Oryctolagus cuniculus: one gene and its partner. The main gene of each other region encodes a partner of the protein of the gene in region 2 in a complex. Links are inferred from orthologs where the notes say so. Each region holds a gene or a part of one and is shown on either strand. Other genes may lie near its edges. The genes, in order: ARL3 and CFAP36.

Region 1 (14,920 bases), on a different chromosome or scaffold from region 2:
AGACCTGGAACTCCACCTGGGTCTCCCACATGGGTGGCAGGGGTCTAAGCACTTGGGCCATTTTTTTTTATAACTATTTTATGAAAAAAGGATTTATTTTATTTATTTGAAAGGCAGAGTTACAGAGAGGCAGAGGTGGAGAGAGAGGTCCTCCAACTGCTGGTTTATTCCTGGAAGGCCAAAATGGCTGGAGATGGGCCTGTCTGAAGCCAAGAGCCTGGAGCTTCTTCTGGGTCTCCCATGTGCATGGAGGGGCCCAAGGGCTTTGGCCATCCTCCACTGCTTTCCCAGGCACATTAGCAGGGACCTGGATGGGAATGGAAAGGGTGCTCATATGGGATGCCAGTACTGCAGGTGGCCACTTAACCCAATGTGCCACAATGCTGGCCCTTAAATTCTGATTTACGTATGAGGGTACTTCAAAGACTTTGTGAGGACCAGCAGAGTGGTGTAGCGGGTAAAGCCACCACCTGCAGTGCCAGCATCCCATATGGGTGCCTGTTTGAGTTCTGGCTGCTTCAGTTCTGAGCTAGCTCTCTGCTTTGGCCTGGGAAAGCAGTAGAAGATGACCCAAGTCCTTGGACCTCTGCTCCCAGGTGGGAGACCCAGAAGAAGCTCTTGGCTCCTGGCTTCAGATTGGCACAGCTTCAACCATTGAGGTCAATTGGGGAGTGAACCAGTGGATGGAAAACCTCTCTCTCTGCCTTTCCTTCTCTCTGTGTAACTCTGCCTTTCAAATAAATAAATACATCTTTAAAAAAAGAAAACTTTGTGAAAAATGGAACTAAAAGGTAAGTTTGTTTTCGTGCAAAAGAGCTAGGAATCCATAAATATGAGGGGTCTTAGAAAGCTATACAAAATGTATATTATAAAAAAACAAATGCATGGATTTCTTTATCTGCTCATTCATTCCCAAAATGTCCAGAACAACCAGGGCTGAGTCAAGCTGAAGCCAGGAGCCTGGAACTCAGTCCAGATGTCCCATGTGAGTGGCAGAGACCCGAGCACTTGAGTATCACCTGCTGTCTCCCAGGGTGCACATTAGCAGGAAGCTTGATTGGAATCATTGTGGGGACTCAAACTCAGGCACTGTGGTAAGCAATACAGGTATCACTGCCACAACGCCTGCCCCATAAACTTTAATTTCATTTTTCCAAAAACACTTTGAAGCACCCTTGTATGTAGGTATATATTTTTAAGATTGTAGAATATACATAACATAAATGTGCTGTTTTAACCATTTAAAAGTGCACAGTTCAGTGGCATTAAGTATATTCACACAGAGATTTTTTCATTTAAAAAAATATGGAGCTGGTATTATCTCCTAGCGGCATAACCTGCCATCTGCAATGCTGGCATCCCATGTCACAGTGCTGATTTGAGTTCTGGCTGCTCCACTTGCAATCCAGCTTCCTGGTTAGGTGCCTGGGAAGGCAGGGGAAGATGGCCCAAGTACCTGGGACCCTGCACCCATCGCCTATGTGGGAGACTGGGATGGAATTTTTGGTTCTGTTGCAGCCATCTTGGGAGTGAATCAGTGGATGGAAAATTTCTCTCTTTCTTCTCTCTCTGCTGCTCTGCCTTTCAAATAAATAAATCTTAAAAAAAAAAAAAACAACCTATATTTATTAAACAACACCTCCACATTCATAATTCTCCCAGTGCCAGTAAGCCCCATACTAAACTAACTTTCTCTATGATTATGGCCACTTGAAATAGCTCATATGAAGGGAATTTCTTGATGTATGTTTGAAATCTGATTAATCTTAGACTGTATAGACTTTTCTCAGAAACAGATCATGGGAGTGGACAAAACTCTATTTCCCACGTGGTCTTTCACACCTCGGTTAGCCTCCTTCCCCAGTCACACAGCACCTGGAGGCAGGCAGTGCTCACCTGTGTAGGTGTGATGTGGCTGATGTCCTCCGATGCAAGCTGCTTCAGAAGGGTGGTCTTGCCAGCATTATCCAAGCCCAGGAGAAGGATTCTCACCTCCTGGTCCGGTGCACTTTTCAATTTGCGCAAAATTGAGAGTAAGCCCTTAAACAACCATGAAGGAGAGAGATTACTTTAGGGGCACTGGTTTTGACATTACTGGACATCAGAATGACTTCTCCTTGAAAAACGTTCTTGGTTATGGAGAGCTTATGTCATTATTTTCCACTCTAATGCCACTTAGTTCATTTACTTGCTCCTTCCAAGTGTTGGCAGACACACTACGGTAAACTCAGCAAGTTAATAAGCAGCCTGGCTTATTCCTGCTCCTCCTCTTAATCCAGCTTAACAGTCACCCCAATTCTCCTGTGAGTGCGCACTACTACCCACTCTGTTTTCCTGAAAACCTTTACTCACCATAATTGATTTTGTATTTTTTCTTCTTCACTAGGGTGAAATTTCTCACGGGTAAGACTGACAGCTTCTGTCTTCCACAGCGCATGGCACTTACTAGACAGACAGCAGGTAACAGCTATCAAATTCAACAGAATCACCCACCCGAGTCAAGGCAACATTTTCAAGCACTTAAAGATCGTAGCTGAGCTCTCTATGTAAGACTATCTATTTCAGTTCATGTTTTAAGACTTCATTCAAATACTCTATCATAGTCTAACTTTCACAAGAGCATTTCAGGCTACACACATGCTATACAGATTACCTGGGTTTTTCAGATGAAAAATCGGATACAACAGAGAAACTGAGGAATTGGAAAGGGCATTCATGAAGAGAAAAACATCCAGATATAACCAGAGTATTTCTGAATAGTCATCTAACATTTCTGTTGCTTTTTTATTTATTATTTTTATGGATGAAAATAACCCACGTTGCTTTTTAGCTAGCCACCGAGACAATTTTTATGTGATAGTTATTTGTTTTGTCCTGCAGCTGACAGTCGAATGAGGCATGGCTGCAACAAGCCTCAAAGAATCCCAGAGTTGAAAGGGCATATAATCTTATCTCCCAGCCAGAGCAGAAATTCCTTCACGCTGAGTCTAACAATATATAAAATGGCTGTATTTGTTATCCACATGGCAGCAGGCAACGATTCAAACCAGTTTGTTCACTAAGATCAAACAATACTTCTGTGAAAGAATCCTTAACAATTAGGTCTAGGGACAATGATATGCAAATACACATAATTATTAAGAACTCCTTTCTGCCTGGAGGCTCCTTGTTTAGCACTTGAACTACTGTATTTGTACTGACTTGCTGAGGACCGCATTAACCTCGCCAGCCTTCAATCATTCCAGCAGCAAAATGAAAGGTTGAGTTTAAGATAGAAAGACAAATTCTATGCCCAAATATTTAGGGGAGGAGACTGGATGGACTGGAAACAAACACAATATAGGCAGGGCTTTTTGTCTGTTGTTTCACTTTAGTTTCCAATCTCCTCTAGCCTTGAATACTTTGACACCATTCCTTCTTTCTCTTTTTATTTGTTTATTTATTTATTTATTTTTTTGACAGGCAGAGTGGACCGTGAGAGAGAGAGAAAGGTCTTCCTTTGCTGTTGGTTCACCCTCCAATGGCCGCCGCGGCCAGCGCGTTACAGCCGGCGCACCACGCTGAGATGGCAGGAGCCAGGTGCTTCTCCTGGTCTCCCATGGGGTGCAGGGCCCAAGGACTTGGGCCATCCTCCACTGGACTCCCGGGCCACAGCAGAGAGTTGGCCTGGAAGAGGGGAACCGGGACAGAATCTGGCGCCCCGACTGGGACTAGAACCTGGTGGGCTGGTGCCGCAAGGCGGAGGATTAGCCTAGTGAGCCGCGGCACCATTCCTTCTTAAAACTGTATTTGTAGGCCGGTGCCGCGGCTCACTAGGCTAATCCTCCGCCTGCGGCGCCAGCACACTGGGTTCTGTTCGGGTTGCTCCTCTTCCAGGCCAGCTCTCTACTGTGGCCCGGGAAGGCAGTGGAGGATGGCCCAAGTGCTTGGGCCCTGCACCCCATGGGAGACCAGGAGAAGCACCTGGCTCCTGCCTTCGGATGGGCATGTTGTGCCGGCCGCAGCACGCCGGCCATAGCGGCCATTTGGGGGGTGAACCAACAGAAAGGAAGACCTTTCTCTCTCTCTCTCTCACTGTCTAAGCTCTGTCAAAAACAAACAAACAACAACAACAAAAAAAAACCCCTGTATTTGTAAGAAGTCTCCTGGGCTTCCATTTGCAATCACTCATTTATAATACCACCTTTCAGAATAGTTACAATTCTGAGATCTTCAGAATGATACAAAGAACAGGGAAAACACAATGCACTACTCATCCCGAGTGCCTGATTGGATGTGAAAAAAAAAAAAAAGGGTCCCATTATCTCTTACAGTAAATCCCAAAAAACTGGAACGTATTAATACATTAAATGACATACAGGTAAAATCTTCTGAGTCACCCACAAGTGAAGAAACTGTGATGAAGATCTGCTTGCTTTCTTTTTTTGACAGGCAGAGTTAGACAATGAGAGAGAGAAAGAGACAGAGAAAGGTCTTCTTTCCGTTGGTTCACCCCCCAAATGGCTGCCACTGCTGGTGCGCCTGCACCCATCTGAAGGCAGGAGCCAGGTGCTTCTGGTCTCCCGTGCGGGTGAAGGGCCCAAGCACTTGGGCCATCCTCCACTGCCCTCCCGGGCCATAGCAGAGAGCTGGCCTGGAAGAGGCCAACCTGGAAGAGGGGCAACCGGGACAGAATCTGGCGCCCCAACTGGGACTAGAACCCGGGGTGCTGGCGCCGCAGGTGGAGGATTAGCCAAGTGAGCCGCGGCGCCCACCTAGATCTGCTTTCTAAGCTTGATGTTTTGGGTTCTCTCTCATGTATCTTCTCTTTTTAAAAAAACATCAAATAAAATACTCTTTTCTGCAGGCTAGGATTTTCAACACAACTCATTGTATTTGAAACTGCATAATTAAAAGTATCATTTATATTCATCTTAAAAGAAAGGGAGAGAACACAGCCCAGAGGTTAAAGCAATCATCCTGACTGCAGAGAAATTTTACTAACCTAATGGCCCAGAATACTATACGTCTTCACTTCTAATTGGGAAACAGAAAGTTTACGTGCTTCACCTATAGGTGAAATTACGGAGAAATGTAAAGTTCTGCTAATATTTTCTTGCAGCAAAATGCTAAGTGTCATGTCAAGCATGGCCTAGGGATACAAATGCAATGCAGCAGGCTACTAATCCACCTACGGAGGACAGGGGCACACAGGATTACCAGGTGTGCTAAATAGGGCTGAGGACATTTATAGATGCCAGGGTTCTGTCTGAAAGGTACAGAGTAAGCTGATTCAAGAGAGGCTGAATGGAAGGGAGCAGAGTAAGTCTAGGAGCATTCTGCCCTTCCATCCATATACACCCATGCTCTATCTTAAATGTCCAACCAAGGGAGATAGCCTTTAGAAGTTAAATTTATCATTTGCCTGAGCTTTGCAGTATAAATGAACTTTACAAGTTTTATTCTTGGTCAAAATATCCATTCATTATGGGTCATCCTATTAGACAGCCATAATGTACCCAAGTACAACAGTGAGCAAAATGGACAGGACCTCTATGCAGGATCCACATTCCTCCGACATTAAACAAAGGCAGTAAGAAAACAAGAATTTCAGTTAATTGTACGTTGTGTGTCACTAGCATGGGTGTTTACAAGTTATCTGCACCCTGGTGGACGGAAGTGGTCTGACTCAGCCACAAGCACTTAAACTAACTTTTCTACAAGCAAATCATGCCTCCAGACATTTTATCTGCCTTAAAATCAGCTTAAACTCAGCTACTGGCAGAGGCATGGCACGCTGACCTAAAATGATGCTACAAACTAGGTCACTCAAAGAGACTGGAGTGGTGGAGGGGGACAGGGATGTGTTGGAGTATGGAAAATGAGCTAACATTTTACATATTGAAATTACAAAGCCAACTTTCAAAGACGGCCCCTCCCAATGACTAGCTTAAGTGGAACTGACCATTTTTACTTACTTATTCTTACTTCTTTAAACTTCTACAGCTTTGAAAGGGAAAATCTCACTGACATTTTGTCATCTTTCTCATCACCACTCTACTAAATAACAACACAAGGTTTCCCAGGCATCTCCTCAGCCAGGGTGGGCCTCACTAGGAGGTTCAAGATTTCAGATTTGTATTCATTCAACTTCCCTCTCCAAGCACACACAACCTGGGGCATCTTTTCATCTAGGAAATGGGAACAGCAATAGACACACCCCCCAAAAAAATGCCAAGAGCATTAAATGAAGTAACAGATAGAAAGCATGCCACATGGTAGGCACTCCCAACAGTAGTTGCGGGCTTTTTGTTCCTTAACTGACCATTTTCAGACCAGAAAACTTAAACACTGCTGGGAATAAGCTTTCAGTGTTGAATAAGCTTGACAACTGCCCCAAGCTCCACAGGGGTGGAAAGCAATCCCCAAATAGCTACTGCATGGAGTCACACAGTAAATAACAGTGATTAGTTATGTGCTAAGATTACTGTCATCTTGGTACTTCTTCAAGAACTTGGTATCATAAGGCAAGAGTAATGCAGCTGACTCTAAATGTTCACAGAAACCAATAATGGTTGCAGTAACCTGAATTTTTTTTAAATATATCAGTTGATGCTGAAATTTAAAAAAAGCTCAAAACTGGCCAGCGCCACGGCTCACTTGGCTAATCCTCCGCCTGTGGCACCTGAACCCCGGGTTCTAGTCCTGGATGGAGCACCGGATTCTGTCCTGGTTGCTCCTCTTCCAGTCCAGCTCTCTGCTGTGGCCCGGGAAGGCAGTGGAGGATGGCCCAAGTGCTTGGGCCCTGCACCCCATGGGAGACCAGGAGAAGCACCTGGCTCCTGGCTTCAGATTGGCGCAGTGCGCCATTTGGGGGTGAACCAACGGAAGGAAGACCTTTCTCTGTCTCTCTCTCTCACTGTCTAAGATCTGCCTGTCAAAACAAAACAAAAAAAGCTCCAAACCTGGAATTCAGTTTTCAGTTGTACAGTGAAGCATGGGGCTCCTGGGGATACCAGATGTGACATATTTAATTACATCACTGACCATTTAAATTCAGTGTTCTACTTCCAATCCTAAGAATAGCTCACTCTTTTAGAAATAGACCAAAAAAAAAGTGTATTTGGTAACCAGATAAAGAATCCAGAATAATTTGTTCTACTTTCTTATTGTTCATTTTAAGAAAAAAGGAAGAGACAAACCCCCAATCTGTTTTGATTATTGACAACAGTTGTATACAACAGTGTTGTGTACACACTGTCAATCTGTATACAGTGCCAATGTGCACCTGGTGCGGTCCTCGATAATGACAAATCTCACTCTCTGGTGGTTTGACATGCCTTTTTTTGTTTCGATTTTAGGAATTTTCTGTGTAAATATTTATGTTTGCACTCATAGGTTGAGAAAAACCTAGCCTTCAAGTGGACTGCTCATGTATAAATGATTACTAAAAAGAAAACACTTGCAAAAATCTGTTTAGCCTGAGGTTTCAAAAGCTACAAATGTAGCAAGTGCGAAGTGTGATGGCAAGGTCAGATCAAGTAGCTCTGCTTTGGGAGCGATATGACAATGTTAAATCAACTGAGGCTCTTTCTTCCTATCAAAATTTACTCAATGGATAATCGACCAAAGGGAAACATGTACTCTCTCCTCCCGGTCATCTGGATTTTTCTTACTTCTTAAATTAATAGTAATGGTTCAACATTCGAAAGGTCAGAAAGGAACAAGGGGGCAGGGTGGAAAGTTACTGCAAGTTTCCTTTACTGGATTTTTTGCACTTGGTAAACCAACCAAGCTGCTCCGAAATCTTTAACAAATCGATTTTTCTACGACTAGCTCAAAAGTCACTCAATGCCACCGCACAGAAATCAACAAGGAACTGTCAAATCCATCACACAAAAAGTGCGATTTGTCACAGCCTTAATTAGGGTTGACAGAGGAAACGCTCGCCCCACTCACGCCTATTCTCCAGTTCTAGCTTCCCTCCCTCATTGCCGGAGGTGGGGTTGGAGACCCCACGTGGGGATCAAGACCTTGGGGCCCGGTGTGGCCACATGCAAAACGGGGTTGCAACAGGTTTCCAAGGAGATGGTAGGGGCCGGGAAGCCAATTTGTTTCCATCCACACAGATTAAGGACTGAACGAATCGTCGGTCATCAGCAACCGGATCTTGTGGAACTCTGAGCAAATGAATAAATAGCTCGGGATTTCAGAAGCGCCCCCGCCACGCAGCCGCCGACACTGCGTGGAACCCACCAGGCATCCCAACCGCACCTCGTTTTGTCCTGGGAATCGGACCCCGGGGGCCCAAGCCCGGCTACCGTCCCCCGGCGCCGCGGGCCCACCTTCTCCCCGCTGCGGGCCCGGACCCCGTCCTGCAGCGCGAGGAGGCCGAGTCTCAGGGTGATCCAAGCCTGCGTGCGGAGGCGGCTGCTCCGCAGCTCCCCGGATCTGCCCTCATCCCTGCCACCAGGGCACTGATGGAGCCTGGGCTCGGTACCCGGCCAGCCACCAACTCTGCCAGCCCCTTCCCCAAGCCTCGGACCCGTCGCAAGCCCCGCCTTCCTCCCTAAGCCCAGGCCTCCCTTCTGGGCCCACCCTCGGGGCTTCCCGCCGCCCCTCAAAGCGAATCCAGAACCCACACTGCAGGCTGAGCGCCTTCCCATCTCCTCCTCGGCTTTAAGCGCGGGGCTCCGCCCTGGGCCTGGAGCGGGGAGGGGGGTGATCGGCCGGGTGCAGAGGGGCCCGGGTCCCCACACTCACCATCCTCCCGCCGAATCCCTCCTCCTCCTCCTCCTCCTCCTCCTCCTCCTCCTCCTGCAGCCTCCCCCGTTACCAGGGGCAACTGCCGCGGCGCCGCCCCCGACGTCCCTCGCACGCACAGCGGAGGAGCAAAGCCGCCGTATTGGGCGGGGTCCGGCTTCGCTTTCTCCAAAGTGCGCAAGCGCGCCGAGGTGCCCGCCCCTGCGCGGGCGGGGTCGCTGCAGAGGGGGCTGGAGACCCAGGGAACGGCGAAAACTCGCCCACGTGGCTGGCGGGAGCCTCCCGGTGCCTGATTGGCCAGGAGGAGGGGCGTGGGCGGGCGAGAAGGCGGTCCCTTGGCCCTGGCAGGCGGAGCACCCTGGCCCGGCTTGCAGCGGCTGGCTACATCTGGCGGCGGCTGTGTCAGGCATCCCTCTTGCGGCCAGGTAAAGGGTCTTGAGCGGAGGCTGCCCAGCGGTTTGCAGTCGCCACGTCCCGGGAGGGCTGGGAGTTCTGTCCTGACTCCGCCTGCGCTGGGCTGGGGTGGGGGCTAGACTTCTACCTGCAGAAGCCACGTGGTTCAAGGAGTGGCCTAGAGCTGCTCGCAGATGCCACTGCTCGGATTCTAGCTGCCATGGAGCGCCGGGCAGAAGGGTGGGGGTTAGGGGCTGTGCAGTCGTCTCCACAGGGAGTCCCTGCGGGTGAAGGTTCCTGGTCGGAGGGCCGGGGGCAGCCTCCTGACCGCTCTAAACCCCGAGCTGGGACCTGGAGGCAAAAACGGGCCTGCACTTCCCTTCAGGGGGCAGAGAGACGGGTTCTGGGTGAGCTGGGAAGCGCCGCCCCCACCCCGTCCGTGTAAGTCTCAGCACGTGCATTAGTGGTAGGCCCGCATCTCGGCACACTGCGGTGGACAGTCTGCCCTCATGGAAATGTCGCCTTTCCTAGAGAACTGCTTTTCACCGCACAACTCCAGAAATTGATTGTTGCAGATGGCGAGTTTGGACTTGGACCGACTTGGACACACTTGTTTACTTTGCTCCTAAACACAGTTGTTCAGGTGGGAGGGACACATCACAGATGGAAACCAAGAGCTTTTGGAGAGCTGATAAAGTCTGGGGGCAAATGATACATCTGGAAGCTTGCTAATGTGCGTGTGTGTGCCTGTGACCTCAGCGGTTTCTAGTGAGGGTAATGTGAATTATGAATATTATCTGTCAGATGCATAGAGCATTGCCTGCCGCAAAGGAAGCACTATCTAAGGGCTTACTTTGCTCTTTTTTAAGAGAAAGAACACCTAACCATTGGTTCACTCCCAGAATGCGCAAGATGGCCCTGGGCTGATTGGAAGCCCAGAGCCAGGAACTCAATACAGGATTCCCACCTGGGAGCTAGCTGGAGTCGAAAGCCAGGGGCTATGGTGCATTGGGTTAAAGCCCCAGCTTGCAGTGCCGGCATCCCATATGGGTGCCGGTTCAAGTCCCGGCTGCTCCAATTCCAACCCAGCTCTCTGCTGTGGCCTGGGAAAGCAGTAGAAGATGGCCCAAGATCTTGGGCCCCTTCATCTGTGTGGGAGACCCAGAGGAAGCTCCTGGCTTTGGATCAGCTGCAGTCATTTGGGGAGTGAACCAGTGATGGAAGATCTCTCTCTCTCTCTATTTCTCTCTCTGGCTCTACCTCTCTCTGTAACTCTTTCAAATAAATAAAATAAAATCAAAAAGAAAGAAAGCCAGAGCTGGGAATTGAACCCATGCACTCTGATGTGGGATACAGGCATCCCAGCCTCTGAGCTAAGTGTCTGCCCTAGGGCTAGCTGTCAATAATTTCATCTAGGGTTTTGGACTTTTTTTCCCTACCAGCCGGATTCTATGTCTAGTTAAGATCATTAGAATGAAGATATTTTTCCTGAGTGGTCTTTAACTGTTTACACATTCAACTAGAGGTTGTTGTATTTTATTTATTTGTTTGTTTTATTTGAAAGCCAGAGAGAGAGAGAAGTCTTCCACCTGCTGATTCACTCTCCAAACACCCTTAACAGTTGGGGCTGGGCCAGGCTGAAGCCAGGAGCCTGGATTCAATCTAGGACCCCCATGTGAGTGACAGGCACCCAATTACCTGACCCATCCCCTGCTTCCTCCCAGACTGGACATTCGTAGGAAGCTGGAATTGGAAGCAGAGCCAGGACTTGAACTCAGGTTCTAATATGGAATGCAGGCATCCCGATGATGGTTTAACCCCAGTGGCAAATATCCACTCCCAAAGTATTTTTAAAACACCTGGGGCTTGGTGTTGTGGCGTACCAGCTAAAGCTGCCACCTACAACACCTGCATCCCATAATGGGCGCCATTGAAGTCCTGGCTGCCCCACTACTTATCCAGCTCCCTGCTAATGTGCCTGGGAAAGCAGAGGAAGATGGCCCAAGTGCTTGGGCCCCTTTCCCACATGGGAGACCCAGTGGAAGCTCAGGCTCCTGGCTTCATCCTGGCCTAGCCCCGGCTGTTGTGGCCATCTGGGGGAATGAACCAACAGATGAAAGATCTCTTTCTGTCTGTGTTTTCCTCTCTCTCTCGGTGTAAATATGACTTTCAAATAAATGAATCATTTTTTAAAAATCAGCTACGCGCATACCAGCTTTAGATTTTTGGAGCAAAGACGCAGTTCAGAACCTTGACCCAGGAGGTGCCAGATGAATGAGTGCTTTGGGGCATGCACCCCTATGATCCATCATTTTTAGGTGGCTGGCTCTTTTGTGAGAAAAGCGAGGCAGGTTTCTTTCAGGTTGTCAGGCGCCTAACATCACAGCAGCCTGGAGTCAGGTGAGTGTTGGCTAACATTCCTGGACCCACTCTCATGTCCATTGGGTTCTAGGAAACCGTGATAGGAATCTTCATCCATCTCAGTCAGTGGCCTTTGGTCTGACTTCAGAGTCTGGCAGCCTCGCGCCTATAAAGACATCGTGGGTCCCCATGCCCTTCAGCTGTGACCTTCTCCAGTGCTGCAGGGCAGATATTAGTCAATCTTTGTTTTCATTTCCACCGTGTTCCTAGTGGAACTGTAATGCAACAGAAGTAGGGCTGTCTGGGACACGATGGTAGCCTTTTCTTCCTTCCTCGCTCCCTCCCTCCCTCCCTCCCCTCTCTCTTTCTTTATTTCAAGATTTTTTAATTTTATTTGAAAGGCAGAGTTACAGAGATCAGAGGCACAGAGAGAGAGAGAGAGAGAGAGAGAGGGAGAGGTCTTCCATCTGCTGGTTCATTCCCCAGATGGCCATAAGGGCTGGAGCTGTGCTCATCTGAAGCCAGGAGCCAGGAGCTTCTTCTGGGTCTCCCACGCAGGTGCAGGGACCCAAGGACTTGGGCCATCTTCCACTGCTTTCCTAGGCCATAGCAGAGAGCTGGATTGGAAGTGGAGCAGCCAGGACCTGAGCTGGCGGCCATATGGGATGCCAGCACTGCAGACAACAGCTTTACCTATTACGCCACAGCACCAGCCCCCTCTTTTTTTATTTTTTAAAAGATTTATTTTATTTATTTGAAAGACAGAGTTATAGAGAGACAGAGAGAGAGCGAGGTCTTCCATATGGTGGTTCACTCCCCAAATGGCTGCAATGGCTGGAGCTGAGCCAATCTGAAGCTAGGAGCCAGGAACTTCTTCTGGGTCTCCTACGTGGGTGCAGGGGCCCAAGGACTTGGGCCATCCTCTGCTGCTTTCCCAGGCACATTTGCAGGGAGCTGTATTGGAAGTGGAGCAGCTGGGACTTGAACCGGCATCCTTATGGGATGGCGAACCTTCAGGCCTGGGCATTAACCCACTGTGCCACAGCGCCGGCCCCAATGGTAGCCTTTTTTAGGGAAGGCTAGATGCGGCTTGTGCGGGAAGACGGAGGGAAACCGTGTAGGAGAACTTAGAGGCCACACGTGCCTTCGTACAGCAGGGTAGAATTTGCGGCTTCATGAAATAACCTGCTCTTCTTCTGAGCAAGGCAGTTCCCGAGTATGACTTCAGAGAGGAGCCAGGAGAACCCAGGCCTCTGCTGGAGGGCATCTCAGGCAGGCAGTAAACGTTTGTAGAGGGCATATGAGAGATGCAGCAGGGAACACTAGACTTGGTCCTGATGCCCGTGAACTTTACAGTCTGTCGGGGAGGCCAGGTAAATGAGTGACTGTAAATGGCAGGGAGCCGGCAGTGCTAACAGCCCAGCATGCTGCAAAGCTCCGGGTGCCAGAGTACTTATTGCAAGGACTTGGTGCCCTGCAGGAGTCAGAGAACTGTTCCCGTTGGCGGACAGCGGATGTTGGCGGGGGGGGGGCTGTTCCAGACAAATAATCGAGTTGTCTTTTTGGTCTTGTGGTTTGTATAAAATAAGGACTGTTCTGTTTCCATCCTGACCCCAGTAAGGAGGGCAAAGATTCTTGCATCATTTAGCAAATGATTATCGTGGTAGAACTTCCATGTGGGACAGTGGACTTTGCAATGCTGACTTGAGGTAGGTGTGTGTGTGTGTGTGTTGGGGGGGAGCATAGCATTTTGCTCGGTAGGCTGTCCCCAGCACCTGTGAGCCCAGGGTTGTGTAAGCCAAGGCAGAGTGACTTGCTGGTCAGCCAGACTCCCAGCTTCACATAGAGTCCAGGGAAGCCAATTCTTTACCTCTTCCCACTCCTGGTTCAGTTAGAACTGAGACCTATGCCTGAGTCTTTTTTTTTTTTTTTTTTTTTTAAGATTTATTGATTTATTTGAAAGGCAGAGTTACAGAGAAGCAGAGACAGAGAGAGAAAGAGAAAGAGAGAGAGATATATATCTTCTATCTGCTGGTTCACTCCCCAAATGGCTACAATGGCTAGGGATGAGCCAGGCCAAAGCCAGGAGCCAGGAGCCAGGATCCCCTTCCAGGTCTTCCAAGTGGGTGCAGCAGCCCAAGCACTTGGGCCGTCTTCTGCTGCTTTCCTAGGCACATTAGCAGGGACCTGGATCAGAAGTGGAACATCTGGGACCTGAATCGGTGCCCATGTGAGTTGCTGATGTCGCAGGTGGCAGCTTTACTTGCTGTGTCAAAGCACCAGCCCTGGTAAGTCCCTTTTAAGAAAAAAGAACTGGGGCTGGCATTGTAGTGTAGTAGGTAAGGTCGCTGCTTGTAGTGCCCACATCCCATATGGGTGCTGGTTTGAGTCCCTGCTGCTCCACTTCTGATCCTGTTCCCTGCTAATGTGCTAGGGGAAAGCAGCGGAAGATGGTCCAAGTCCTTGGGCCCCTGCACCCATGTGGGAGACCCAGTAGAAGCTCCTGACTCCTAGCTTTGGCCAGGCCAAGCCCCAGCCGTTACAGCCATTTGGGGAGTGAACCAGTGGCTAGAAGACCTCTCTCTTTCTCTCTCTGCCTTTGTCTCTGCTTCTCTGTAACTCTGCCTTTCAAATAAATAAATAAATCTAAAAAAAAAAGTGGCTTACCCTCATCATATAACTTCCTAAATTCCCTTCCACCCTAACTAAACATCTAAAAACTAGGAGTGTGTGTTTACCCTTAGTGCTTCAAATGCCCATCTTCGTTCCCAGTTCCAGCTCCTGACTCCAGCTTCCTGCCTATGAAGACCTTGGGAGTTGGCAGTGATGGTTCAAGTGCTTGGACTCCTGCCACTCACATGGGAGACCAGGATGGAGTTCTGGACTCCTAGCTTTAGCCTGACCCAACTCCAGCTCTTGCAGGTGTTTGGGGAGTGAACCAGTAGATGGAATCTCTGTATCTGTCTCTCTGACCCTGAAGTAGATAAGTGAGTAAATCTAGAAAGTGACCATGGCTGTCTCCCCACTCTCTTTGGCTTTTCTTTCTCATCTTTTGGGCCTTGTTTTTCTGAGCTTGCCTCATTTGTAGTGACTTCACAGATTCTGTTTAGTTTTGTTAGATTTATTTATTTGAAGGACAGAGCAATGGAGAGAAAGTGATCTTTCATCTGCTGTTTCATTTCCCGGATGGCCACAACAGCCAGGTGTGGGCCATGTAAAGCTAGTCTCCTAGTCTTCCATGTGCATGGCAGGGGTTCAAACACTTGGGCCATCCTCTGCTGCCTTCCCAGGTGCATTTGCAGGGAGCTGGATCAGAAGTGGAGCAGCCAGGACTCAAACTGTCACTCTGATATGGGATGTCACAAGGGGCAGATTAACCCATTGCACCACAGCACCTGCCCCACTTCCTCAGGGTTTGTCTTCA
Region 2 (15,054 bases):
GCCACTGTGGGCATTTGGGGATGGAGCCAGTGAATGGCAGCTCTACCTGTCTATCCCTCTCTCTCTCATCTGTCTCTTGAAGAAAAAGGAAGAAGGAAAGTGTGGCCGGAGGGGGGGGGGGGTTATTTTAAAGAGCGGTAGCAACTACAGAATTATCAGAGATCTCCATAAATAAAACAGTAGTTTGGATAAACTCTATAACCTTATTATAGCTCTGAGTTCATAAAGTTGATTTTTAGCTGCATCAGTTCATTAATGCCTTAAGTTATCATTTCTCAAATTTGTTCTAAAGAAGAACCCACATTTTACCTTTCACAATGTCCAAAATATTAGACTTCATCAATCAAATATACCAAATTTAAGAGGAACCCTGGGGATTTGTGTTAAAACTACATGTTAGCAGAATTACAAAAAAGCAAAAACCTGTGATGTATGGGTCTTTGCAAGTGGAGAAGTGCATGCTTCTTGAAATTGATCTTCATTAATTCCGATGTCTTTAAGGTAACTTTCCAACAGTTTTTCAACCTAAAGAGAGAAAGATTAGCTTTTATAATTTACAAAGGAAAATTCTAAATGACAATTTTCATATTCAGTATTATCTTTATAAAAGTATAACCAATGCAAATATCAATCTCCATATTATATTATGTGGTAGTAACATTGTCTTTCACCAAAAAACAAACAACAAAAAGTTAACTTTGGGGGAAGAATCTCATGAAATTTAATTCCTTCTATGAGAAATAAATGAAGTCAGGATTATGAAGTTCCATGTGACACAACTCTCTTTCTACCTCCAGGTAGTTTAAAAAAATCACAAGACACCGGTTACTGAATAAATTACTAACACCTCCCTGGAGGCATCAAAAGAATAAGAATAAAATTTAAAAATCAGATTATTTGGAAAAACAGTCCTTAAGTTCCACAGTAGATGAGGCAAGAAATCATAAGGAGATGCTCAGAGAACGTCTGAGCCTGATAGAACTGGCAGTACTGTTACGGTAAACTGGATCTTTGTGAATAATGCTAATGAAAAAGAATCCATTTTCAAATTTAGGAAAGTATAAATATTATCCTCATTACCTTTAAAAATCAGTGAAAAAAATACTCACTAGTTCTTTGTATTCCTGATGAATCTCTGTATAGGTTAACTTGCTTTCTTCTTCATCATCAAAAACTAAATTTAAAAGGAAAAAATATTGCATACTGTAGAGAAACAATCATTTCATTAATACAGATATAAAAATCTACTTCTGGAGCAGGTGGTTAGCCAATTAAGATGCTCATATCTTATATTGGAATACAAGGGTTTGATGCCCAGCTACAGCTCCTGACTAACTTGCCTCAAGTGGTAGAGTTTCCGTAACACACATGGGAAATCTAAACTCTGAGTTTCTGGCTCTGAGCTTCACCTCAGCCCAGAGGATGGGAGCTCTCTGTATGTTTCTCTAAAAAAATTAAAAAAAAAAAAAACTTAACCTCCTTACAAATGGAACTGCAGTATTATTCTTATAGCCTAGCTTTTTAGCTTCAAATTCTTGGGTTTTTTTGTTTGTTTTGTTTGTTTGTTTTAAATATTTATTTGAAAGGCAGAGTTATAGAGAGGCAGAGGCAGAGAAAGAGAAAGAGAGAAATGTCTTCCATCCGCTGGCTCACTCCTCAAATGGCAGCATCCAGAGCTGAGCCGATCCAAAGCCAGGAGCCAGGAGCTTCTTCTGGGTCTCCCACGTGGGTGCAGGGGCCCAAGGACTTGGGCCATCCTCTATTGCCTTCCCAGGCCATAACAGAGAACTGGATTGGAAGTGGAGCAGCCAGGACTCAAACTGGCACCCATATGGGATGCCAGCACTGCAGGCGGCAGCTTTACCTGCTACGCCAGTGGGCCAGCCCGAAATTCTTGTTTGTTTATTTTTTTAAAAAAAGAAATATATGTAAATAATATAGTATTAATTTTAAACAAGTTGTTTTCTCCAACTTAGGAAAATATTTAAAAGAAACACTACCTCATATTTAAGAACACTAATTTGCAACTTTTTAATCAATAATGCAATGTTACTTCAAAGGTTCATCGAAAATGGAATTAAAAGATAAATTTAGGGGCTAACGCTGTGGTGTAGTGGGAAAAAGCTGCCGGCTGCAGTGCTGGCATCCCATATGGGTGCCAGTTCAAGTCGCAGCTGCTCCACTTCCAAACCAGCTCCCTGTTAATGCACCTGGGAAAGCAGCAGAATATGGCCCAAGTGCTTGGGCCCCTGCACCCATGTAAGAGACCTGGAAGAAGCTCCTGGCTCCTGGTTACAGATTAGCCCAGCTCCCACTGTTGTGGTCATTTGGGGAATGAACCAGTAGATGGAAGATCTCATTCTAACTCTCAGGAACTCTGCCTTTCAAATAAATCAATAAATCTTGAAAAAAAAGAAATAAATTTATTTAATAAAAAAAAATTGAAATTCATGCACACAAGGGTCTTCAGAAAGTTCACAGAAAACGATATTATTAAAAAAAAAAAAAAAAAAAAAAACTAGGGCCAGTGCTGTGGCGTAGCAGGTAAAGTTGCTGCCTGCAGTGCTGGCATCCCATATGAGTGCCAGCTCTAGTTCCAGCTGCTCCTCTTCAGATCCAGCTCTCTGCTATGGCCTGAGAAAGCAGTAGAAGATGGCCCAAATCCTTGGGCCCCTGCCCCTACATAGGAGACCCAGAGGAAGCTCCTGGCTCCGGGCTTCAGATCAGCGCAGCCCTAGCGATTGTGTCTACCTGGGGAGTAAACCAGCAGGTAGACGGCCTCTCTCTCTCTCTCTCTCTCTCTCTCTCTGCTTCTGCCTCTCTGTAACTCTGAGTTTCAAATAAGTGAATCTTGAAAAAAAACAAAAGCTATGTAAGAATTTCAATTTTAAGATTTATTTTTTATTTATTTGTAAGGCAGAGTTACAGAAAGAGAGAGAGAGACGGAGTGAAAGAGATTTTCCATTCTCTGTTTTACTCCCTAAATGGCTACAACAGCCAGAGTTGTGCCAGGCTGAAGCCAGGAGCCTGGAACTCCATCTGGATCTCCCATGTGGGTGCAGGGACACAAGCACTTAGGCCATCTTCTGCTACTTTCCCAGGTACGTTAGCAGGCAGCCAGATTCTACGGAGCATCTAGGACTGCAACTGACACCCATATGGAATGCTGGCATCAGAGGCAACATCTGACCCCACTATGCCACAATGCCGGCCCCAAGGATTTCAATTTTTTTGCACCAAAATAAACTTAAGTCTTTGATTTTCCATTAACTTTGTTTTAAAAGGTTAGTTATTTACTTGAAAGAGAGTTCACTTGGTTCACTCCCCATGTGGCCTTGATGGCCGTGACTGGGCCAGCTCAAAGCCATGAGCCTGGAACTCCATCAGGGTCTCCCACATGGGTGGCAGGGACAAGCACTTGGGCCATCTTCTGCTGCTTTCCCAGGCACATCAGCAGGGATGTGGATCAGAAGTGGAGCAGCCAAGGGGCTGGCACTGTGGCTTAGCGGGTTAATCCTCCACCTGCAGCACCAGCATCCCATGTGGGCGCGATTCTGGTCCCAGCTGCTCTTCTTCCGATCCAGCTCTCTGCTATGGCCTGGTAAAGCAGTGGAAGATGGCCCAAGCACTTGGGCTCCTGAACTCATGTGGGAGACCTGGAAAAAGCTTCTGGCTTCTGATCAGCCCAGCTTTGGACATTTGGAGAACAAACTAGCAGATGGGAGACCTTTCTCTCTGTCTCTCCCTCTCATTGTCTGTAACTCTATCCCTCAAATAAATAAATAATATCTTTAAAAAAAAAAAAAAGTGGAGCAGCCAGGATCTGAACAGGCATCCATGCAGAATACAAATATTGTAGGCAGTGGCTTAACTCACTTGCTGCGCTATAACCCTGGCCCCTCCATTAACTTTTAAGTGTGTTCAGATAAGGCAACAATATTTTTGTAAGCTTTTAATGAAATCTTATGTTTAAAACTTTTAAACGTTAATCCTTCTAAAACAGTCTCCAGCTTATTGTACTGGAATTTTTCTTATGAAAATTTTACTGAAAGTGATTAGCCCCTTTCTGTCACCATAGGTCGGTAATGATGTTAAACTTAAAAAACCAAAACGTGGGCGGGTCCCAGCAGCTCGGGCGGCGGGAGTGGCGGCAGCGAAGGCTCTCGGCGCGCCGCGGCCCGCAGGCACCCGGCACGCGCCCTCCGCGCCGCCAGGATGCCCAAGAGGAAGGTCAGCTCTGCCGAGGGGGCGGCCAAGGAGGAGCCCAAGAGGCGGTCGGCGCGCTTGTCGGCGAAGCCGGCCCCCGCCAAGGTGGAAGCGAAGCCCAAGAAGGCCGCCGGGAAGGATAAGTCATCAGACAAGAAAGTGCAAGCAAAGGGGAAGAGAGGAGCAAAGGGAAAACAGGCCGAGGTGGCTAACCAAGAAGCTAAAGAAGACCTGCCTGCAGAAAACGGAGAAACGAAAAACGAGGAGAGTCCAGCCTCTGATGAAGCAGAAGAGAAAGAAGCCAAGTCCGATTAATACCATACACCATGTGTTATCAGTGCTCCCTGTCTCCCTTCTTGTACAATCCAGAGGAATATTTTTATCAACTATTTTGTAAATGCAAGTTTTTTAGTAGCTCTAGAAACATTTTTAAGAAGGAGGGAAGCCCACCTCATCCCATTTTTTAAGTGTAAATGATTTTTTTTAAGAGGTGAAATCATTTGCTGGTTGTTTATTTTTTGGTACAACCAGAAAATAGTGGCATATTGAATTCTGGGAGGCTTTGACTGTCTTGGGTGTCAGCTTAACATTCCATAGGTGGGGGTGGTTTTTATATCCTACAGTATAGCGCATACTAAATGGCAATTTGGAGTCTCAATTGTGCATTTAATCTGTCTTGAATATTTTCAGTTACTTCTCCCGTGTTTTGTAGAATTGTTTTCTACAGAAAACCACTCCTTGTTCTGTCAGAACCATGTGCACTCTGTAACATCTTCGGCTGTGGTAGTCCAGTTTTCCTAATGATTTTGTTAATGTGCCGTGAAAGATTGAAAATTTGAGTGTCGTGTATATGCTATTATATTGTGAATGGGTGGGATTTATGTAACAGCATCTGAAGATACTTGTACTTGATAGCCTCTTAAGGAAGAGTTGCCTCCAAATTTGAAGCTGGAAAGTCACTGGAATAACTTTTAAAAAAAAGAATGACAATTCATGGCTTTTTAGATTTTTGGTACGTATGTTAAGAATTGTGTACAAATTAAAATGTGTGTGCTGATTCTCAACACCAATAAAATCTCAATTATGGACAAAAAAAAAAAAAAAAAAAAAAAAAAAAAACCAAAACGTGGAGCCAGTGGTGTGGCGTAGCAGGTTTGGGCCTCTGTATTCACATGGGAGACCTGATAATGCTCCTGGCTTTGGCCTGGCCAGCCCTGGCTTTGGGAACTTTTGGGGGGTGAACCAGCAGATGGAAGATCTCTCTCTCTAACACTGCCTTTCAAAGATATAAATAAATTTTTTAAAAAACATGTGATTATATGTGTGAAATAATGTAGATTTCAAATATACATATTCCCTCAGGAAGCTACAATCTAATTAAGAAAACAGGACAGGGGCCAGCGCTGTGGCTTAGTGGGTAAAGTCGCCACCTCCAGTGCTGGCATCTCATATGGGTGCCAGTTTGAGTCCCAGCTGCTCCACTTCCCATCCAGCTCTCTGCTAGGGCCTGGGAAATCAGTAGAAGATGGCCCAAGTCCTTGGGACCCTGCACCTGCGTGGGAGACCCAGTGCGGCTCCAGCTATTGTGGCCAATTGGGGAGTGAACCATCGGATGGAAGACCTCTCTCTCTGCCTCTCTTCTCTCTGTGTAACTCTGACTTTCAAATACATAAATAAAATCTAAAAAAAAAAAAAAAAATCCCAAGACAAACTCATGAATTGCAAACAATTTTTCATTCTCCCAGACTGATCTTTCTAACTTCTGCAATTTTCAGTTTAACTCTTCAACAACTGCTCATTACCAATAAGTGCAAAATCTTAAGCAGGTCTGAGAAGATTCCAGATCTCATTTCCTACTCCACAATCCAAGCCTCAGCCTCCTAACAATGCACAACTACTTGGAAGACCTCCAAGCATCATATATACCACTTCAAATCCCCATGACTTTGCATAAGTCCTGTCCTCTTTTTGCCTTTACTCCACCCTTTTTGCCCCCTTTCTCTCCCAACCACATTTCAAGATATTGCCAAGTAGCACCTTCTGCATGATCTGCTACCCACATCCAACTCCTAACCTGGTTAGATCCCTTCCTCTGATCTCTTACAATGTACACCACCATATGTCTTCCTTTATTATATCAACTGCTACACTGTATTTCATTCTGTTTACCAGCCTGTCTTCTCCACTAAAATTTTCAAGCACCGAATTTTGTTTTGTCTTTCTATCCCCAGCTTTTGGCCCAAGGATGACATTCAATAAATATTTGTTGAAATAAATGCTGGATTTATAAAGTTGTAGAAAACTGATATTGAAATTATCTGAGGTTGAGATTAGCACATAGGCAACGCCAAGTCAGTGAAATATAAACAGGTATTTGAAGTGTCCTTGGCATGTGATTTCTATTTACCCTGGCATCTGCTCTGTGTAGCACTGTACATATATTCAATACAACAACTACTTAGGCTGTTTTCAGTTCATTCTGAAACCAAATTACTACAGTACAAGTTTCTAAGGCTAAGATTTCTGCCTCTCAATAAAATTATACTATCCGGTATGTTATTACTGGGATACAGCCACTTTTGACACTTGTAGTTAAAAAGATAAACGATGCTTTAATTTTTTTTCCCTTTTTAGTATTTAGCCTCAGTGGGACAAACAGCAATAACAAGTGATATAATTTTTTTTTGTTATTTTAAAGGATACTGGAATTCTAGGTGCATTATCAGTGTCTATTTTTTAATTGTTTTTAAAGATTTATTTATTTATTTGAAAGAATTACACAGAGATAGGAGAGGCAGAGAGAGAGAGAGAGAGGTCTTCCATCTGCTGGTTCATTCCCCAGATGGCAGCAACAGCCAGAGCTGCGCCGATCCAAAGCCAGGAGCCAGGAACTTCTTCCAGGTCTCCCATGCGGGTACAGGGGCCCAAGGACTTGGGCCATCTTCTACTGCTTTCCCAGGCCATAGCAGAGAGCTGGATCACAAGTGGAGCAGCCAGGACTCGAACCGGCACCCATATGGGATGCCAGCACTGCAAGCAGCGGCTTTACCCACTAGGCCACAGCGCCGGCCCCTTTCAGTGTCTTATAATTTCAAATTTTTAAAAGGAGTACAAATAAAATTATTTTGTTTTCAAAACCTCTTAAAACTACCTGTGAAAATCAACAGTTAGGGAGCAGGTGATCAGCCTAGCAATTAAGATGCCTGCATCCCACCTCTAAGTGCCTGGATTCAATGCTCCACTGCAGCCTCCTGCTGATGTAGACCACGGGAAGCAGCAGTGATGACTCCAGTAAGTTGGGTTTCTACCACCCAGGTGGGAGACATGGGTTGAATCTCCAGTTCCTGGCTCAGGCCTGGTCCAATCCAGTACTGGTCATTGCAGGCCTTTAGGGAGCAGATAGGAGCAGGTTCTCATGTTCTCTCTCTCTCTCCTTCCCTCGTTCTCAAATAAATAAATTTTTTTTTTTTTTACAGGCAGAGTGGACAGTGAAAGAGAGAGACAGAGAGAAAGGTCTTCCTTTTCTGTTGGTTCACACCCCAATGGCCGCTCGGCCAGCGCACTGCACTGGATCCGAAGCCAGGAGCCAGGTGCTTCTCCTGGTCTCCCATGTGGGTGTGCAGGGCCCAAGGACTTGGGCCATCCTCCACTGCCGTCTGGGCCACAGCAGAGAGCTGGACTGGAAGAGGAGCAACCGGGACAGGATCCGGCACCATGACAGGGACTAGAATCTGGTGTGCCAGCGCCGCAGGCAGAGGATTAGCCTAGTGAGCCACTGCGCCGGTCCAAATAAATAAAAATTTAAAAACACAACACTTAAAAACTGCTATTTTTATTTTTATTATGGCAAATAAGAATGTGATTAAAAAATCAGTGGCCAAACAAAATTTCATCTTTACCAGATTCATAGAATCTTGGGTTTGAAAGAAATCTGAAAAGGACATCCAAGATAACTAATCATTTGATAGTTGCAACCCCTCTAACAACTTAAGTCAATGTCAGATCCATTCAAAACCTGCTGGTGCCCGAGAAACCCATTACCTTCTGAGTAAGAAGAATACATTCTGTTAGGAAGCAAACCTTCCTTCACAGAAATCGGTTCCCCTATGTCTTGTACTCGGCGACTCTAACTCTAGTCCACCGAACCTTACAAAACAAGTCTAATCTCTCTAACGTAATACAAATGTTCAAATGACTGACAGATATCACAGCTCTCAAAGTCTTGCGCAGCTGAACAACCACAATAATGGCTGTGTGTGTACTCACCCCTAAGACACGGTTTCTGGTTCCTTTTCTATGAATGGGCACCAACCAGTCTCCAAGAACTGATTATAGAACTCTAAGCATGAGCTGATTAGAAACTTAGCCCGCACACCACCGCGAATATTATGCCACGTCTGTAAGCCTCACTGGGCAGAAGCGCACCCCTCTCCATTTGGGAGACAACCGAGATTTGGAGAATTCAACAAGGGAAACAGACGTTTTGCTGAATGGTCACATGCTCTCCGTTGCTCATCGATCTCGGGTGAATCATTTCTCATCTCCTAGGCTGGCTGCACACGGACCAAATGCTAACTAGCAATATGAAGGAACCTAGAGGTAAAATGACGCGTCCCCTCCCGAGCCACCAGAACAGCTGTTGAAAAAGCCCACCCCAAAAGTACACGTGCCCGGGGCAGGGACGAGCAGGGTAGGGTGAAAGACAGAACACAGGATTAAAGTCTTAACGTTTTTCGGCGTGCGCCTGGGCTCAGGGAGAGGGGAATCTCAGACTGCATTTTCAGGTCTGCGAGGGAAAACACCGGCGGGGTGAAAGCAACTGCTCCCGCACAACCAGCGCTAAACACGGCCGACAGGAGTGGAGACCACCTCCCGGCCAAGGGCCGGTGTGAGGGAGGCGAGGAAGGACGTCGGCGCGAGCTCTGGTAATTACCTTCACATTTCTGCTCCACGAAGTCCAAGATGGGGATGGACCAGTCCGGGCCTCGGAGGAACCCCGCGATGCTCTCCACCACCCATTCCACCTCGTCGTCTTTTTCCGCAGACATACCGCCCTTCTGGGCGACGCGGATCCCTAGGCCAGGCCGCTGGAGCCTGCTGGGGCCTCCTGGCTACAGGGAGCAGCGAGGAGCGGAAGAGCTGGCCCCGCGGTCGCCCAGATACCTGGATCTAAGCTACAAACCAGTTAACGTAAAACGGTCGCTATGGCAACGTGCGTAGCCGCCCCAGGCTGCGGCCCGGAAGTGAAGCTGGCTTCCCTGGAGTCTGCGCTTCTCAAAGGAGGCGGGGGGGGGGGGGGAACGGGGGCGGGGAGAGCGTTAGAAGAACGTTTCCGATTGGTTGGAAAACAACAGCAGCGTATCAGAAGATACCTCTCCACCCATTGGTTCGGAGTTGCTAAGGCCGAGAGTAGAAGTATAGGCAGCTTTTGGCTGGAGACCCTGGTAGGAATCTGTGTGTTCCCTCCTGGGAAGTCCCTGGGAGCCAAGCCTTAGAAATGGCGGAGTGAGGGACCACAGAGTCGACAGAAGGCCTCAAAGACTTCATTTCGTCGTTGTATCCCAGCCCCTCAGTCCCAAACACTGAGAATCGCTGACCCAGAAGCCTTTGTAATTGAAGGGTTGTCTGAAAATACAAAGCTGACCAAAGCTCTGTAAGACTTGCTGTTAGGCTCTGCGGCCAATTTGCTTCCTGTAGCTCCAGACAGGTCTTTAAAAGTTCAAGCACAAATGGACATAACTACAATTAGCTTTTCAAGGGTAAAATCGAAGTTAATATTCATCTTACATCAAATAATTCCAACTCAGTTTCCAGGTTGTGATCTATTGTGGAATGAGTCTTCAAAGGTCATCATCAAGGTTCTCGGAGTCCTGGGATATCTTCATACAACATGGTTCCGTGAATGGAGTCCTTATAGGCTTATGTACAAGTATGAAACCTTTTTCACTTAGTATGTTTTCATCTTTTCAAATAAGAAAAAGTGCTTCCCTTATAGATGCGAAGTATTCTATAAACCACTCTTTAGTCTATTTTTATTTCAAAATGTTTGTATGCACATATATCTTACTTGGATGCATAAATATGATCATTAGTGTGCAATTTTTTTCTTGTTTTGCCTGTATGGTTTGGGAGTGCTATTAAGTATTCAACCATTGTTTGCTTCTGCAGACTGCTGAAATAAACATGCATGTGTTCTAGTCCCAGTCAGGGTGCCAGATCCTGTCCCGGTTGCTCCTCTTCCAGTCCAGCTCTCTGCTGGGCTTTTTAAAGTATTTTTTTTTTTTTTTTTTTTTGAAAGGCAGAGTTAGAGAGAGAGAGATCTTCCATCTACTGATTTAATCCCCAAATGGTTCCAATGGCTGGGGCTGAGCCAAGTTGAAGTCAGGAGCCTGAAATTCCATCTGGGTCTCCCATCTGAAGGCAGGGGCCCAAGTACTTGGACCGTCATCTGCTGCTTTCCCAGGCACATTAGCAGGGAGCTGGATTGGAAGTGGAGCAGCCAGGACTCCCCTAATCAGTGCTCATATGGGAAGAAGGCATTGCAAGAAATGTCTTAATCCACTGAGCCACATTGCCAGCCCCACGAACTGCTGGGTTTATTTGTTATTCCACCGGAAAGATTTTAATACAATTGCTAAATGAAAGAATGTATACCTTGATTTATTTGACCATCGTTAACTACTAGATTTGATTATTCCTACATAGCTTTCAAATGATTCTGTCAGCAAAATCCACTAGAAAAGAATTTAGGATAAAGAGACTTCAGAAAACAGTCTAGGGCTAGCACTGCCAAAGTCTTAAATGCCAGCATCCCATATAAGTGCCACTTGGAGTCCCAGCTGCTCCACTTCCAATGCAGCCCCCTGCTAATATATTTGGGAAAGCAGCAGAGGATGGCTAAAGTCCTTGGGCCCCTGCACCCATGTGGGAGACCTGGAAGAAGCTTCTGGCTCCTGGTTTCCATTCCCAGCCATTGTGGCCATTTGGGAAATGAAGCAGCAGATGGACTCTCTCTCTCTCTCTCCCTCCCTCCCTCCCTTTGTCTCTCTCTGTAATTCTGACTTACAAAAAAGTCTGCAACCAAGGGAAGAGAAGGAGCCTTTAGGCTCAGAATGATCAAAAGGTTATATATAAGGTTCCTGCTCAGGTTCCTATCCAGGCCTACTATACAGATGAGGGATGCTAGCTTCAGAGATAGCACTGTAACCTGATGGCTTCATACTCAAAAGTGACCTCAGTTCATGGTCAGGCCTGGATGGCAAAAATGGGACTTTTGGGGGCTGTCCATCTCAGCAGTTGAATCAGGAACGTGCCTAGGCACAGACCACAAACACAGAGCATAACAGAGTAAATGTGTAACGGCAAGCCAGCAAATAGCAGCTGAACTCTGTTTTGAGCTTTAGGCCCATTTCCCACTTAAGGTCCGTCTTGAAAGTTCAACTTTCCCTGTCTTCCAATTCCAAACAGTTTACTGCATGATATTTTTGTTTTGGAGTTTATGTCTTTTTTCTGATTTAACTTTTTAATTAAGAATGCACATCATCTCTGATCCCATACATGAGAACTTGGAGTGAATTCCTCCTGTACTCAGAAATGTTATAACTTTATTGGTAGCTGCCATGTGTGACTTGCCCTAACTCCTGGACTGCAAAATTGTCAGATAACTGGGTCCAGGTTCTGTCCAATGTAAGAATTTGAGGATAAGACATAGGTAAAGATCAAGAGAAACAAGATGATTTGCATGCAAAGCAAAGGTACACACTCAAGAGGGAGAGTGGGCACACTGGAATAAGCTGCACTCAGTGAGGTTTGGGTCCACCCCGGAAGTGATCTGGAGGCATAGAGGGTGGTGTCTGGGGCATGGTTAAATTGAATATTTAAAGGGGGCAGATTTGGGGGCAGACCTTGAGGTTTTACCCATTTACTTGCTCTTTTTGGAAAGCTCAGAAGTGTGATGATATCAGGTCCATAATAGGAGTAGAAGTGTCAGCCATGGTAATTTTATTATAAAGACATTACAAGCAGCTAAAGGTTGTTGCTGGAATGAAGTCTCCAGCTGCAACCATGTTGGTTATTTTGGGCCGCAGCTGGTTCAAACCAGCAGTTTCAAGGACCCCTCAATTTTCTGCTGCTTAGAAATGGGAAGTGGTTGGCTGGTGCCAGTGGGGCTACAGCACAAGCTGGACTGCAGCTAGGGGCTGGTGATGTCAGCTCTGCTTGCTAGCTGCCTCCTTGCCTTCATTAAAAATACATGTAAACTCGGGGCCAGTGCTGTGGCTCACTTGGTTAATCATCTGCCTGCGGTGCTGGCATCCCATATGGGCACCGGTTCTAGTCCCGGTTACTCGTCTTCCAGTCCAGCTCTCTGCTGTGGCCTGGGAGGGCAGTGGAGGATGGCCCAAGTGCTTGGGCCCCTGCACCCCCACAGAAGACCGGGAAGAAGCACCTGCAAACATATGCTATAACACCCTGCATTCTGTCAGCTCCTTTTCCACACACTAAGTACCCAGGCTGCAGAGAGGCCAGGCCTGGAAGCTTGCAAGCCTGGCATCTCCACACTGGTGCCGCTCATTAGCATGGAGGAAGTTCACCAACGCTCACTGGGTGTCTGCTGTGGATGTCAAGCCAGATTCTACCAAAAATCACTGATGCAAAGGTACAGCTGAAACTTTAATTAGACTATCTTCTACAGAGGCCTACTTCCACCCTAATTGAGCTAGTGGACTTTAATAATTTTGAACCTTGGTGCCAGCGCTGTGCCTCAGGTTAAGCCTCTGCCTGTGGTACTGGTGTCCCATGTGGATACCAGTTCAAGTCCTGGCTGTTCTACTTCTGATCCAACTCCCTGCTATTGCTTTTGGGAAGGCAGCAGAAGATGGCCCAAGTGCTTGGGCAGGTGCACCCACTTGGGAGACCCAGATGAATTTCCTGGCTCCTCACTTCAGCCTGGCCCAGCTCCTGCTGTTGTGGCCACTTGGGGAGTAAACCCAAGTTTGGAAGGTTTCTCTCTCTCTCTCTCTCTCTCTCTCTCTCTCTCTCCCCTCCAAATAAATAAGCACATCTTTAAAAAAATAATTTTGGAACTCACTCACTATGTGGTGAATATCCCTCATGTGTTGAGTGTGTTTTCTGTGAAATTTGTTCACATTACTTACCCCCTCTTTAAGTACTGTGAATCTAAGGGAAATTGTATGGCAATCATACTTTGATCATGTCCTTTTTTGCCAGACATAACGTTACTTCATTGTATTAAGCCCATAGACAACTATGTAATGAATGCACTTGTACATATGTTCCTGAAACACGTTCTCATTGTTTCCTCTGAATAAATTCTTCATGGGAAAATTACTGAACAGATTTTTAAAAATATCTTTGACAGGGGATGGCATTTGTGGTACAGTGAGTAAAGCCACTGCCTCCAGTGTTGGCTGACTGTTCTATTTCTGATCCAACTCCCTGCTAGTGACCTGGGGAAAGCAGCAGAAGATGGCCCAAGTGCTTGGGCCCCTGTTACCCATGTCAGAAACCCAGATGAAGCTCCTGGCTCCTGGCTTCAGCCTGGCCCAACCCTGGCCACTGTGGCCATTTAGGGAGTGAACCAGCGAATGGAAGAGCTGTGTGTGTGTGTGTGTGTGTGTGTCTGTGTCTCTGTGTAACTCTGACTTTCAAATACATCTTTAAAAAAAAGCAAAAGGAAGTATCTTGGACATCTGCTAAGTTAAAAATGATACATTATGGTAATGGCATTGTGATATAGTGGGTCAAACTGTTGCCTGCAATGCCAGCATCCCATATAAGCACTGGTTGGAGTCCTAGCTACTCCACTTCTGATCCAGCTCACTGCTAATGCACCTGGGAAAGCAGCAGGTGATATTTCAAGTATTTTAACCACTGACATCCAAGTGAGAGACCAGAAGGAGGAGGCTGTAAAAATACTATCTAACTGCATTCCACAGTACTGGGCACTAGAGTCTTTCCAGAGCTTTTCAATTTCCCTGGAGGCTTTCCCTTCTTTTGTTTTCTTTTAAAGTTCTTTTTAAAGGATTTATTTATTTATTTGAATGAGTTACAGAGACAGAGGGGAGACAGAAGGACAGAGAGAGAGAGAGAGAGAGAGGGATCTTTCATCCACTGGTTCATTCCCCAGATGGCCACAATGGCCAGACCTGGGCCAGGCAGAAGCCAGAAGCCAGGAGCTTCATCCGGGTCTCCCATGTGGGTACAGGGACCCAAGAACTTGAGCCATCCTCCGCTGCTTTCCCAGGCCATTAGCAGGGAGCTGGATCAGAAGTGAAGCAGCTGGAACATGAACTAGCACCTATATGGGATGCCGGCATCTAAGGCGGTGGCTTTACTGGCTCCATCCCACCTTTTTTTTTTTTTTTTTTTTTTTCAGGCAAAGTTAGAAAGAGAGAAAGGTCTTCCTTCTGTTGGTTCACCCCCGAAATGGCCACTACCAGGTGCTTCCTCCCGGTCTCCCATGCGGGTGCAGGGCCCAAGCACTTGGGCCATCCTCCACTGCACTCCCGGGTCACAGCAGAGAGCTGGACTGGAAGAGGAGCAGCTGGGTAGACTGGGTAGCTTTGAAAACACAAATTTATTTTCTTAAGGTTCTAGAGTCTGTTGGCTTAAAGTTATTAGCAATAGCCTTAAAAATACCAATATAAGAGAAGTGTCATTTTAAAATAGACTATACAGAAGATTACTAATGAGCCACCTAATTGCTACACTGCTTTCAATCCTGTAAATTTCCTTTATTCCTGCTAGAGAAAGACTTTTTGAAGTTCTAAATAATAGGTTATTTGAAAATATTCTCACTTGATTATTTGGCTTACATAACAGCAAAGA

What was found.
Region 1: the proteins of CFAP36 (region 2) and ARL3 are in contact, whole or in part, in a crystal structure (PDB 4ZI3), measured with the Mus musculus proteins. The link is inferred for Oryctolagus cuniculus from reciprocal best matches to the Homo sapiens genes CFAP36 and ARL3. Residues at the interface, in NP_080016.1 of Mus musculus: Glu44, Glu45, Ser46, Lys47, Leu48, Thr51, Glu52, Lys58, Val61, Glu62, Leu65, Glu76, Phe79, Gln80, Cys83, Thr84, Ala88, Lys89, Leu97, Val100, Leu101, Ala103, Glu104, Asp105, Phe106, Thr107, Ile108; in NP_062692.1 of Mus musculus: Leu3, Leu4, Ile6, Leu7, Arg8, Lys9, Leu10, Lys11, Ser12, Arg19, Lys35, Glu40, Pro47, Thr48, Gln49, Gly50, Phe51, Asn52, Ile53, Lys54, Trp66, Ile74, Tyr77, Ser80, Tyr81.

The regions. Positions count from the first base shown.
Region 1 is NC_091446.1:27,267,632-27,282,551, reverse strand, and holds the start of ARL3 (ADP-ribosylation factor-like protein 3), read right to left. Parts: upstream 8,755-14,920; 5' UTR 8,746-8,754; coding exon of another isoform or gene 8,743-8,745; 5' UTR 8,646-8,742; coding exon 8,622-8,645; intron 2,442-8,621; exon of another isoform or gene 2,356-2,441; coding exon of another isoform or gene 2,353-2,355; intron 2,041-2,352; coding exon 1,897-2,040; intron 1-1,896. UniProt on the Homo sapiens protein: Small GTP-binding protein which cycles between an inactive GDP-bound and an active GTP-bound form, and the rate of cycling is regulated by guanine nucleotide exchange factors (GEF) and GTPase-activating proteins (GAP).
Region 2 is NC_091433.1:147,073,021-147,088,074, forward strand, and holds the start of CFAP36 (cilia- and flagella-associated protein 36), read right to left. Parts: upstream 9,497-15,054; 5' UTR 9,255-9,496; coding exon 9,140-9,254; intron 5,288-9,139; exon of another isoform or gene 4,522-5,287; coding exon of another isoform or gene 4,216-4,521; exon of another isoform or gene 4,154-4,215; intron 1,175-4,153; coding exon 1,110-1,174; intron 526-1,109; coding exon 424-525; intron 1-423. Other genes in the region: non-histone chromosomal protein HMG-14, read left to right, coding at 4,216-4,521. UniProt on the Homo sapiens protein: May act as an effector for ARL3.